Linked DNA regions of Saccharomyces cerevisiae S288C. Changing the gene in region 2 together with the main gene of any one other region gives a genetic interaction. Each region holds a gene or a part of one and is shown on either strand. Other genes may lie near its edges.

The links. Genes that interact genetically often act in the same process or in processes that back each other up.
Region 1: mutations in INP52 (region 2) and RVS161 impair growth when combined (synthetic growth defect), as found in Saccharomyces cerevisiae (4 studies listed by BioGRID, with this or other methods).
Region 3: mutations in INP52 (region 2) and PIL1 together harm fitness more than expected from each alone (negative genetic interaction), as found in Saccharomyces cerevisiae (7 studies listed by BioGRID, with this or other methods).

Annotation. Positions count from the first base shown.
Region 1 is NC_001135.5:130,245-133,629, reverse strand, and holds RVS161 (amphiphysin-like protein RVS161), read left to right. Parts: upstream 1-2,087; coding exon 2,088-2,885; downstream 2,886-3,385. Other genes in the region: ADY2 (Ady2p), read left to right, coding at 506-1,357; serine/threonine protein kinase SAT4, read right to left, coding at 3,349-3,385. UniProt on the Saccharomyces cerevisiae protein: Component of a cytoskeletal structure that is required for the formation of endocytic vesicles at the plasma membrane level.
Region 2 is NC_001146.8:420,444-426,433, forward strand, and holds INP52 (phosphatidylinositol-3-/phosphoinositide 5-phosphatase INP52), read right to left. Parts: upstream 4,053-5,990; coding exon 501-4,052; downstream 1-500. Other genes in the region: YEATS domain-containing protein YAF9, read left to right, coding at 1-335; 2-isopropylmalate synthase LEU4, read right to left, coding at 4,452-5,990. UniProt on the Saccharomyces cerevisiae protein: Dephosphorylates a number of phosphatidylinositols (PIs) like phosphatidylinositol 4,5-bisphosphate (PtdIns(4,5)P2), but also phosphatidylinositol 3-phosphate (PtdIns(3)P), phosphatidylinositol 4-phosphate (PtdIns(4)P), and phosphatidylinositol 3,5-bisphosphate (PtdIns(3,5)P2).
Region 3 is NC_001139.9:649,098-652,445, forward strand, and holds PIL1 (lipid-binding protein PIL1), read right to left. Parts: upstream 1,521-3,348; coding exon 501-1,520; downstream 1-500. Other genes in the region: PDC6 (indolepyruvate decarboxylase 6), read right to left, coding at 2,193-3,348. UniProt on the Saccharomyces cerevisiae protein: Negative regulator of cell wall integrity (CWI) in unstressed cells, probably by inhibiting protein kinase PKH1/PHK2 activity and regulating their downstream CWI pathways PKC1-MAP kinase pathway and protein kinase YPK1 pathway.

The DNA of each region.
Region 1 (3,385 bases), on a different chromosome or scaffold from region 2:
ATCCGGAGCTCCGTGGAATAGGCGAGCGGCTGAGTGGTTCTCCAAGCTACGGTTTTTACGTGTAGCCCCATGTGAGCAAGCCAAACAAGGGCCCTTAAAGGCGTGACTACAAAAAGGGGCGGGTTGGAAGGTCATCTGCAGCGAGATACGAAAAGATTTTTTGCCAGATTTGCGGTTGGGCGGCTATTTCGGTATTGTTGGGGTAACAAACGTTGGGGAAGACTGCATTTTCTTACAGCTTTTTTTCGTTATCGCGGGTTGGGCGGCTATGGCGCCTTCTCCTCTGTACTCCAACCTGTCAGAGACACCAAGCTGTATATAAAGCACCTTGGTTGGATCGTATTTCCCTGAGATCTTGCTATAGGTTCATTTTATATATCGTCCAATAGCAATAACAATACAACAGAAACTACTAGCATCTGTTTATAAGAAAAAGGCAAATAGTCGACAGCTAACACAGATATAACTAAACAACCACAAAACAACTCATATACAAACAAATAATATGTCTGACAAGGAACAAACGAGCGGAAACACAGATTTGGAGAATGCACCAGCAGGATACTATAGTTCCCATGATAACGACGTTAATGGCGTTGCAGAAGATGAACGTCCATCTCATGATTCGTTGGGCAAGATTTACACTGGAGGTGATAACAATGAATATATCTATATTGGGCGTCAAAAGTTTTTGAAGAGCGACTTATACCAAGCCTTTGGTGGTACCTTGAATCCAGGGTTAGCTCCTGCTCCAGTGCACAAATTTGCTAATCCTGCGCCCTTAGGTCTTTCAGCCTTCGCGTTGACGACATTTGTGCTGTCCATGTTCAATGCGAGAGCGCAAGGGATCACTGTTCCTAATGTTGTCGTCGGTTGTGCTATGTTTTATGGTGGTTTGGTGCAATTGATTGCTGGTATTTGGGAGATAGCTTTGGAAAATACTTTTGGTGGTACCGCATTATGTTCTTACGGTGGGTTTTGGTTGAGTTTCGCTGCAATTTACATTCCTTGGTTTGGTATCTTGGAAGCTTACGAAGACAATGAATCTGATTTGAATAATGCTTTAGGATTTTATTTGTTGGGGTGGGCCATCTTTACGTTTGGTTTAACCGTTTGTACCATGAAATCCACTGTTATGTTCTTTTTGTTGTTCTTCTTACTAGCATTAACTTTCCTACTGTTGTCTATTGGTCACTTTGCTAATAGACTTGGTGTCACAAGAGCTGGTGGTGTCCTGGGAGTTGTTGTTGCTTTCATTGCTTGGTACAACGCATATGCAGGTGTTGCTACAAAGCAGAATTCATATGTACTGGCTCGTCCATTCCCATTACCATCTACTGAAAGGGTAATCTTTTAAGAGCACGACCTACTAATAACGAGAACTATTGAAATAAAAAAGAGTAGTTTTTTATTTTTCAATTTTTTAATATGATAATTATTTTATGACTTATATAACCACACCAACTAATCGTACTTTTATATGTTTAAATAGAATGGCTGTTTCAGTCGTACACTATTAATAACATTATGTTACTTCGCAATTAAATGTTTTTCAAAGCTAAAACTTCAAAACAAGATATAAACAATGTACAAAAATGATTACGAAAATATAGATGATGTAAGCAAGGTACGGTTATAAACAGTTAACATATAAGTTTACTTCACTTTTTTGCTGACTCCTTTACTTGTCTTCCCTGCACTTTGATTTTACTTCAGAAAAAATAAGATATATGTTTCTGATAAAACTTTTAGGTTAGCGGAGAAGATGTTGCCACGAATATCATGTAATTGAAAGGCAACGAAAGGTCTATCGTTTGCCATTCATAATGTGATTCGACTTGTCTTTTTCATTGTAACAGACATGAAACGTTTCCTTTACGTCCCTATGAATTTTTGTTGGCTGAACTGGGCGCTGCAGGGGCTGGACGATCCAAATGCGCGGATTTTGAACAATTATGAGAATCCGAATTAAAAGAAAGGGAAAACAAATTTAATAACAGGCAGACGTGAGAGAAGAAAAGGAAACGCTGTGATATAGAAAACTATACAAATCCTATTATAAGAAGCCAGAAGAAAGCTGATACAAGATGAGTTGGGAAGGTTTTAAGAAAGCTATCAACAGAGCTGGTCACAGTGTGATAATTAAGAATGTCGACAAGACCATTGATAAAGAGTATGACATGGAAGAACGTCGTTATAAAGTTCTTCAAAGAGCAGGTGAGGCATTACAAAAGGAAGCCAAAGGTTTCTTGGACTCATTGAGAGCTGTGACAGCATCACAGACTACCATTGCCGAGGTCATCTCTAACCTCTATGACGATTCAAAATATGTTGCTGGTGGTGGTTACAACGTTGGTAACTATTATTTGCAATGTGTTCAAGATTTTGATAGCGAAACTGTTAAGCAATTAGACGGGCCCTTAAGAGAAACCGTACTAGATCCAATAACAAAGTTTTCGACGTATTTCAAAGAAATTGAGGAGGCCATAAAAAAGAGAGACCATAAGAAACAAGACTTCGATGCTGCGAAGGCAAAAGTTCGTAGATTAGTGGACAAACCTGCTAAAGATGCCTCTAAACTGCCAAGGGCTGAAAAAGAATTGAGCTTAGCTAAAGATATTTTCGAAAATCTTAATAACCAATTGAAAACTGAACTACCACAGTTAGTTTCATTAAGAGTACCTTACTTTGACCCAAGTTTTGAAGCTTTAATCAAGATTCAGCTAAGGTTCTGTACTGATGGTTACACTCGTTTAGCGCAGATTCAACAATATTTGGACCAACAATCAAGAGACGACTATGCCAATGGGTTATTAGACACTAAAATCGAAGAACTATTAGGACAAATGACAAGCCTAGATATTTGTGCGCTCGGGATAAAATAAATTAATGCTTTTGCCTTTAGTTTTTTACGGTCATTTATGTTTCTTTCATTTAAATTAACAGACCTAAATAGCACTATAATTTACTATCTGCTCTATCTGACCAACCGACTCTTTTTAAGAAAGCAATTAAAAAGCGATAATAACCGCGGGCATGTGTTTTTGTTAACATGAACACAATAAACGTAAGAATGTCTAGCAATAAATTCAAAATTATTATCTTTTTTTTTTTTATTGTTATGTACTATTTTTTTTTTTAAATAAGGTTACAATTCTTTTTTAATTAATGGGATTTACCAATTTGAACGTGATCCGTAATCAGCCAAACGGGATATAAAAGTAGAACAATAGAAGCGAGGAATAAGATACGAATGCCGGATAACAAAGCATTCCTTAGTGTACTAGATTAAGTAAAAAATACCGAATTGTTCCAAAATATCGTGATATTTGAAAGTGAAGTACTCGTTTATTTCAATGCGCGCCCATTATGGCAGCATTTTATC
Region 2 (5,990 bases):
GACTTCATCCTTATGCTAATCCTGTACCGAATTCCGACAATGGAAATGAGCAGAATACAACAGACCATAATAGTAAAGATGCAGAAGTTAGTTCTGTGTATTTTGATGAAATTGTATTCAATGAGCCAAATGAAGAGTTTTTCAAAATTTTAATGAGCCGACCAGGAAATTTGTTACCTTCAAACAAAACTGATGATTGTGTATACTCCAAGCAATTAGAACAGGAAGAAATTGACAGAATAGAGATCGGCATAGAAAAGGTTGACAAGGAAATTGACGAATTGAAGCAGAAACTGGAAAACTTGGTAAAACAAGAAGCCATTAACGGAAGTTAGGATCACTGCACCCGGAACAACGGTATTTTCATAACAGCCATAGTAATACAGATCATGGTTTGAAAGGTCGGCGCTCACAAAACCGAAATGTGTGCAGAGTCATATAAACATCTAAACAACAGTTATGATACATATTCTATAAATGCGTAATTTTAGTAACACAATTTAATTGGGGTCGCAAGGCTTCAATGGATGAACGCTTAGCTTCTCTAGTTCAGGGTTCTTCGCAGGAACTTTTGGTTTAGACTTTTTCTTGCAAGGGAGTTCCTCTTCAGATTTTGAATTCGACGGGGAAACTTTTATTGAGTGTTCTTGAGAGGTGTTAAGCTTGTTAGCAGCAACACTTAAATAATGCGGTTTTTTGACAACTGGTGGCTTCTCAGGTTTTGTGGAGGCCTTTGCTGGCTCAGGATCTTCTGTAGTGGACACACCTGAATTTTTGGTAGATGTAGAGATTTCGTCCGGGGCAGTACTGCTCTTCCTTCTAATAGGAGGACAAGGTCGAGGAACAATTTTCCCATTATCTATGGTCTCTTTAGCATGCTGTAATTCTGAAGAACTTTTCTGTAAAGAGACTGGCTTAGATAAAGATAAAGCGGGCACTGGCGGCAGTGGTTTGGGTGTACTGTGTCTCTCTAAGGCAGGAAGATTGCTCTCACCTTTACGCGGCGATACGCTGACAATGGAAATCTCTTTGGTAGGGGAAAGAAGTTTAGAAGATGGTTCCTTATTGTGCCTCGAGGTAGGAGGAGGCGGAGGAAGCACATTGAGCTTACTTTTATCGGGTGATACGTTACTGAGTCCTCCAGGGCCAACAACAGACGGTTGGGGACTGGGACCAGAAAGTAGAGGCGAAACGCACGAGGAAGTATCATCTAGGTCAATTAGTTTTATGCCCGCTGATTGAACGGTTGCATCTAAGGGTATACTTTCCTTTTGTTTTTCCATTCTTGCATGAGAAAGTTCGTCAGGACCTGTAGTTAGTGCTTCGGGATGCGTATTCTTATATTCTGCATACAGCTTCTCAACTAGGTTAAGCTTCTCTTTTTCGTCAACAAATTTCACATTTGCCCTATATGCAGCATAAACTGGTTTATGATCGCTTATTTTTAAAGGTGCGTCCGAATATGCCAATGGATGCAGGTTTTCACCTTTATATATGATTCTATCAGTCCAAGACGGAGTTCTCGCCTTTTCAGAAGTATCATAATTATCTGTGCCATAATCATATTTATAGGTCGGACGGAATTGGAGGGTCGGTTCTTTAAAGCCCTGAAATACCACTCCTTCATTTATTTCTTGAGTCAACTGATCATATTGAAGCAATCTATCAATATAGCCATCCTTTTGAGCCCTTAATTCTCTTCTAACTTCATCATTTGTCAAAGTTATCCTGTAGTTAAGGTCACCCAACCAAAACAACGAATCATGGTGTGGAATTGTCTTTGATCTTGGAAAGGTTATGTTCCTGTAGATATTGTTGTAGTCATTGCGACGTTCGTCAATGTTACTCGCACCTGCTGATAAATGTGTATTAACGAAACAGAATGAAGTTGCCCCATAATCGAATCTAATGGCTACTGCACCTTTGTTTCCAGTAATACCACCAAACCCAGTCTTTTTGGTAGACCCACCTACCTCTTTTATGTTATAGGCTCTATCTGATCTTGCAAAAAATAGTATCAAAAGAGAGGACATCTGTTCCACTCTAAGTAAAAGATATTTTTCTTCGTATTGATTCAAACAGTCAGTAACCATAGTTTCCCAAAAAGAACTTTTCGTATAATCTGCATTCAAGATAGACCCTGCGGTCAACTCTATAACTTCCTGCAACCCTAACACAACGACATCAGGTTTGAATTTATCGCCGATTGGAAATAACCATTTTGACAAATCTGCTCTTCGAGAGTTTCCGTTAACATTGAATGTACCGACAAACAAATTTATGTTAGAATGAGTGGTGAATTTTTCCTCTGACTCTAACAGCCTTTCATTGACGTATTCGCAGATTGGATCATAAAGTTCAACAACTTGCTGGTGCGGTAGTTTGCCCAAAAGTGTGTCAATATTTTGCTGTTTTCCTTTATCTACAAAATTGTTGATGTACATTCTACTAACGGACTTCGTCGCATCAGAAAGGGCGCCAGAAAAAGACATTTTACCTTTCCTTGAATAGGACGATTTCAGAGCATTTGTCCCAGTGTAAATTTGTGATATCTGATCTCCGTTGTCGGCCCATAAAGCATTCACCTTTTGCACAAATTCATTATCGTCGATGAAACTACTGGGTTTTACCAATCGGAAGTCTTCCAAAAATAGTTTGAAAACGGCCAGTGAAATCGTCTGTTGGATCAAATTTGTTCTATCTAAACAATCCAAGCAATTGGTTCTAAAGACACCGTCTTGTTCGGATATTAATCGCCCTTCTTTTACATCGTATGAAAAGTAACCGGCGTCCAAAATTGTGTTTCTTATTTTAGGGATAATCCTACTTGCAGCTGCAAACCCATCTTGCGAAGTTTCTCTATGGAAATCAAAGCTTGTTAGGAACACATCTCTACCGATTTTCATTTTCTCAGAATTTTTCAACTGTTCCTTGTATCGCCTCGATAATTGAATTTCTGAAGATTTAGTAGACAGCAGGTTGATTATATGAACTGGCCCATACTTCTTAAATAGTCTTATAAAATGTTCATCAAACGTGGGCTGTGTTGCTTCAACAGATCTGGTAATTTGAATCTTTGGACTAATCAAAGATGTATCCTGCTCCCAAAAAATTGGAAGGCTTCCTCTTATCTGCGTGAAAGCATAACAATACTGAGAAGAGTACATAATCATTTCTGTTTCAACAAAATTTGCGACATGGCCATCATCATCTATACCACGTGCATTAAACCTTGTGCCTGCTCTTTTCCAACTTTGCCTGGAAATAATGGTAAGTCCTACTTTCAACCTATTAATATAGCTAAAAATTGTTTCAGCAAACCCTCGGATTACGGTCGTGAGGAATCCTCGTTGATCCAATAGTTCTTTGGCCGTTACATCTAGTCTGTCTCTGTATGTGATGATTTCGTCCATAAGAAACGAGTTCCACATAAACTCCCGGTCAAAATCATCAAAACTCAAAGAGTGTTCCGTGAATCCACGTTTCTGCAATGTACAAGTTAAATCAAAATCGGTGCTGTAATAAAAAGATCCATTTGATAATAGCTTTCTTAGTTCATGACATGGATGCTTGGGAGCTTGTTCTTGAGCATTCAAACTCCTAGAGGAAGAAGAACGTAGCGATGATCTAGAAGAATGTGTGGAAATACTAGGAGGCGAGCTTATTGCAAAATCTCCATCATTAGTAACAATCGGATAACCGGATGAATCGATGTCCATGAAATCCCATTTAGAATTATTTAAGCAAAAAAAATCCACAGCATATATTTTGTTAACCGTTTTGTTTGGGATCGGCTGGGCCACCTTAGATTTACCTGTTATGGTTGCTATGAACATAAGGCCTTCAATTTCTATGAGACCAATAAAACCGTATATTTCATGGTTAGATAGTCTTCTGAAACCATTACCATTTAATTCAGCTTTCGGAACCAATTCCACGGCACATGTAGATCTGCGAGAGTTCTTACTGTTTATTGGCCTAAATACCAGTCCATGTGTTTCTGAAACTATTGCTATCTTTCTAGTTTGCTGTTTCGATAGGAGTATTTTCATAGCTACTGAGTATTTGTTTTTGATTCTGCTGCCTTTGCGTGGCCTTTGTCACCAATTCTGCGAACAAAAATATGTTGAGACTATATGAAGCGAGTACTTATTGTCCTTTATGCCTAGTTTTCCAGTTAAATCTCTCTTAATAACTCCAGGTTTGTTTCAATTTCGTCACTAACCGCCAAACAAGTTTCGGGTCACCCCACACGTATTTGGTTCAAGAATATACTAAAAAAAGAAAAACAAGCACTAGCCCTAGATATGGAAAAAAAGATATTAAAACGTAATTCTAATTTAGACATCCGTGCTTCTAGTAATTATATGGTTAAAAAAAAAGGAAAGGAAGTAAATAAATAAGTATAGAAATAAATAGAAGCGAATAAGTCCTGAAATACAGAAAAGTTCTTATGCAGAGCCAGATGCCGCAGCATTCTTACCTTCGACCTCGGCCAAAGATGGAATGGACACATCACCAGAATGGATAATATTGTTAATGGTGGCAAAGATGGCTCTCACTGAAGAATCACCGACATCTTCGGAGACACCTACACCCCATTTGTAGGCCTTTTCGTTGTCGGCATTACGCCTATACGATAGATGGATGTAAGAAGCAGCTTGCGTAGAAGAACCAGAACCTAGAGAATGCTCTGTGTAGTTTGCTACGGCAAATCTCACGTTCAACAAGTTTGATAGGGCGTCGACCAAAGAAGAGATTGGACCATTACCTGTACCTTCAATATCGACGATCTGGTCGCCTACTTTGACTTGACCAGTGAACACTCTACGTTCAGTGCCGAATTTTTCAACATTATAATTGACTAAACTAATAGCTTGGTACTGTTCGTCATTGTAGTTGTAAGCCTCTTTGAATAACTTGGAAATCTCATCTGATTTTAGTTCTCTACCCAAGGAGTCAGCATGGTCTTGAACGGCGCTAGAAAATTCGATTTGCATGTTTCTTGGTAGATCCAAACCCAAAGATCTCAAAATAACCCAAGCGGCACCACCTTTACCAGACTGAGAGTTGACTCTGATGACAGCTTCGTAATCACGGCCAATGTCCTTTGGATCCAATGGCAAGTATGGGATTCTCCATTGAGTTTCACCTTGAGCACGCTTCTTGTTTTGTAAGTTGAAACCCTTCTTAATGGCGTCTTGGTGAGAACCGGAAAAGGCACAAACGACCAAGTCACCGCCGTATGGTGCTCTTTGCGATACTGGGATCTTATTACAACGCTCAACCACATCTAGGACAGAGGTCAAGTCAGAGAAATCCAAATTAGGAGAAACACCTTGGGTATACATATTCATAGCAACAGTAACCAAGTCCACATTACCTGTACGTTCACCATTACCAAAGAGACATCCTTCTACACGGTCGGCACCTGCAAGCATACCTAACTCTGTGGCGGCGACACCGCAACCACGGTCATTGTGACAATGTGTAGAGATGCAAACCTTCTCACGCTCAGTAATATGGGTAGCGAAGTATTCAATCTGATCAGCATAAACATTTGGAGAGGCAACTTCTACGGTAGCAGGTAAGTTGAAAATGATTGGATTTTCCTCGGTAGGTTCCCAAGCCTTCTTAACAGCTTCGCAAATTTCTACAGCAAATTCACCTGGAGTATCACTGAAACATTCGGGGGAAAACTCATAGGACCAACGAGTGGCTTGTTGGGAAGGGTCATCCTTAGTTAGTTTCCTAACTAGTTTGGTGGCCTCTACTGCCTTGGAAATAGCTTCCTCTCTAGACATATTAAAAACAATTTCACGGAACATATCACTTGTTGCCAAGTAAGTATGTATAGTAGCCTTTTTAGCACCTGTTAATGCTTCCACCGTTCTCTTAATCAAGTGTTCTCTAGATTGGACAAGACATTGAATACTAACATCGTCTGGGGCGTTTTCTACAGCATATCTAGTGAAGTCGAAATCTGTTTG
Region 3 (3,348 bases), on a different chromosome or scaffold from region 2:
GAAGGCGGTGAAAACAAAAAGAATATTAAAAAAAGTAATGTATGGGTTCTCGTTGTACGGATGTTTAAAATGTCCTGAAAAATACCAATTAGACGGTTCTGTGCTTGTTATATATAGATGTCTATACGACTCAACATATGTATGTTGCTGCATTTTAGAAAAAAATTAGGCATTAAACATTAGGCTACACAGGAAATAATGTTTCCTATCAAAAGAGTTCTAACTTGAATTGTTCCTTCACAATTAAAAAAAATAAAAGAGTACATATTTAGGAGGGGGAAGAGATATTGATAATAGACTAAAGTAAGGAGTGAGGAGAGGGCAAAATACAATAATAGATGAAAAAAAAAATAGGAAAATAAAACAATTTTTTCAGAGTGAGGGAACAGAAATGATTATCTGTCCACGCATTAATTAAAAGAGATTAATTAGTATGGTAACTTGTTCTTTTCTGCTGGTTTTTTTTTTTTTGTTTCTAATAGATTGTTGATTTATTTTGATTAAGCTGTTGTTTGTTGGGGAAGAGACTCACTTTGCTGGTGTCCGACTTGTTCATGTTCTTCAACAGCACCTTCTTCTTCTTGTTCAGGTTCTTCAATTTGTCCATCTTCTTGTTCGTCTTCGGACCACCTGCCTTGACCGTCTTCCTCTTCCTCTTCTTCGCCTTCTTCAGGTTCGAAGTCTTCGTAATCCTGCTTGAAACTTAAAGTAGGCTTGACTTGGGCAGAGTCTAGTGTCCATTCATTCAGTGCGCTTTCAGCATCAATAATGATTTGTTTAGAGGCTTCATACCCATCGTAAGCAGGCCTGGTTTCACCTGGAGTGACAGGAGAGTCGTCCAATAGTTCCAAGAGAGCCTTACCGTAACCAGCGATTAAAGCAATTTTCTCTGAATGTTCGATGATGGAGTCAAATTGGTAGTTGAAAGCAGCTCTCAACTTTGACCTTGTGATATTAGATAATTGAGCTTCAGCGACCAAAGATTCAGCCTCAGCACGCACCAATTCTTGTTCCAAGACCTCAATCTTAGGTGATTGAGGATCTTTGTATTTCAAGTAGGCGATTTTGTCGGTGATCTTGTCCTTACGGTCTCTAGATGGTTGAACAGAACCTTCGATATCTCTGATGGACTTTAGAGTCAATCTGTATTGGTCATAACGATCGATAAATTGGTCGTCTAATTCACTAACTTCATAGATCAAGACACCTAATTTATCAGTGATGTCGGAAACATCGTCATCGTTTTCCAACCCCCAAATAGACAATTGCTTAGCAGCGTCACGTCTTTCGTTGGCTGTCAATTCCATGGACCTCAAAACATTCTTTTCAATCTTAACCAATTGAGACAACTTTCTGGATAATTCTGGGCCAAAAGCTCCAGCAGCACTTCTCCTAAAGCTGTAAGCTAGACCACCCTTCCCAAAGAATCTACCTTTGGTTGTAGATGGTGGTGGCGGTGGGTTCTGTAATTGAGAGGCGGTAGGTGCCCTGGAATTTCTTAAAGAGTAAGTTCTGTGCATACTATATACTTGATGCTGATATATTCTTCACTTTGCAATACTGCTAACAATGGAAAAGTATAGGTAAATAAATGTGCAGATGCAGATGTGAGACAAATTTTCTTTCTTGGGTTGGGATAATCAACGCATTGTACCCAAACGACGGGAAACAAGGAAGGATGCAGAATGAGCACTTGTTATTTATAAAAAGACACGGGAGGGGGAATCCCGTCTTTCGTCCGTCGGAGCCAAAGAGATGAGCCAAAGCAGAAAAACAGGGGACGCCGCCCTTCTTCCGTCCCGTGCGTGAGGGGGGCGCGGCCATTCGGTTTTTGCAATATGACCTGTGGGCCAAAAATCGAAAAAAAAAAAAATAAGAGGCGGCTGCGGAATTTTATAAGACAAGCGCAGGGCCAAAGAAAAAATAATAATTGACGTGGCTGAACAACAGTCTCTCCCCACCCCTTTCCAAAAAGGGGAATGAAATACGAGTTCTTTTTCCCAATTGGTAAATATTCAACAAGAGACGCGCAGTACGTAACATGCGAATTGCGTAATTCACGGCGATAACGTAGTATTTAGATTTAGTATAATTTGAACCGATGTATTTATTTGTCTGATTGATTTATGTATTCAAACTGTGTAAGTTTATTTATTTGCAACAATAATTCGTTTGAGTACACTACTAATGGCTTATTGTTTGGCATTTGTAGCGGCAGTCAATTGCGCTTGTTTGATCAAACTTTCCGGAGCATCAAAGACGGGCAGTTTCAGTTCAATTAGTCTGATCACCGAGTTTTTCTGGAACTCTGAATCAGTGGTTAAGGCATCCCACTCACCCGTAGTGGCGATCTTGTGATTTTCGTACTTTTTCGCACCAAATGCGGGCAACAGGGCGAGGTGATCCCAGGTCTGGATTTCGTTGTACTCTGCGTGAGGCCCATGAATCAGCTTTTCGATAGTGTAGCCGTCGTTGTTAAGGACAAAAAGATACGGCTTTAACCCCCATCTGATCATGGTGGAGATTTCTTGGACGGTTAACTGCAAAGACCCGTCACCTATGAATAAGATGACTCTCTTGTTGGGGTCAATCTCCTCAGCGGCAAAGGCAGCACCTAAAGTTGCTCCTGTTGTAAAACCGATGGACCCCCACAACACCTGCGAGATACCGTAGGCGTCCTTAGGAAAGATAGTTTGATTGATACCGAAGGCAGACGTGCCGGTCTCGGAAATGATAACATCACCTTCTTGCAAGAATTTGGACAATTCGTTCCACAACCACTCTTGTTTCAAGGGCGTGCTAGCAGGTACACCTTTGTTTGCGGGAGTTTTGGTTGGTACGGGAACGCTCTTGTAGCCCTTAACAACATCGGGAATAACCTTCAGTAAGTTTTGTAGTGCAAATTTCATTTGTACACCGAGGAACGTAGCGTTCTTCACCTTTACGTAATCGGAATGAAACTCCACTACATTTTTAGTCTTGTAGGAGTAGGAAAACGAACCTGTGTTAAAATCAGAGAGCAAAGCACCGACCGAAAGGATCAAATCAGCCGACTCAACGGCCTGTTTCACGTCTTGTTTGGACAGCGTTCCCACATAAACACCGCCATATCTGGGATGCTGTTCATCTATTGACCCTTTACCTAGAGGTGTCACAAAAGCTGGGAATTGCGTCAAATCAATTAACTTCTGGGTTTCTTTTTTAACGTTGTGCCTAGAAGCACAGGCATCCGATAGTATAACAGGGTTTTTCGAATTCTGGATCAATTCTAGTACGGTATCAATAACTTCCTTTTCAGCTTCGGGATCGTTAGGTTTTAATGATAGATCAATCGGTTTTTCCAAAAGA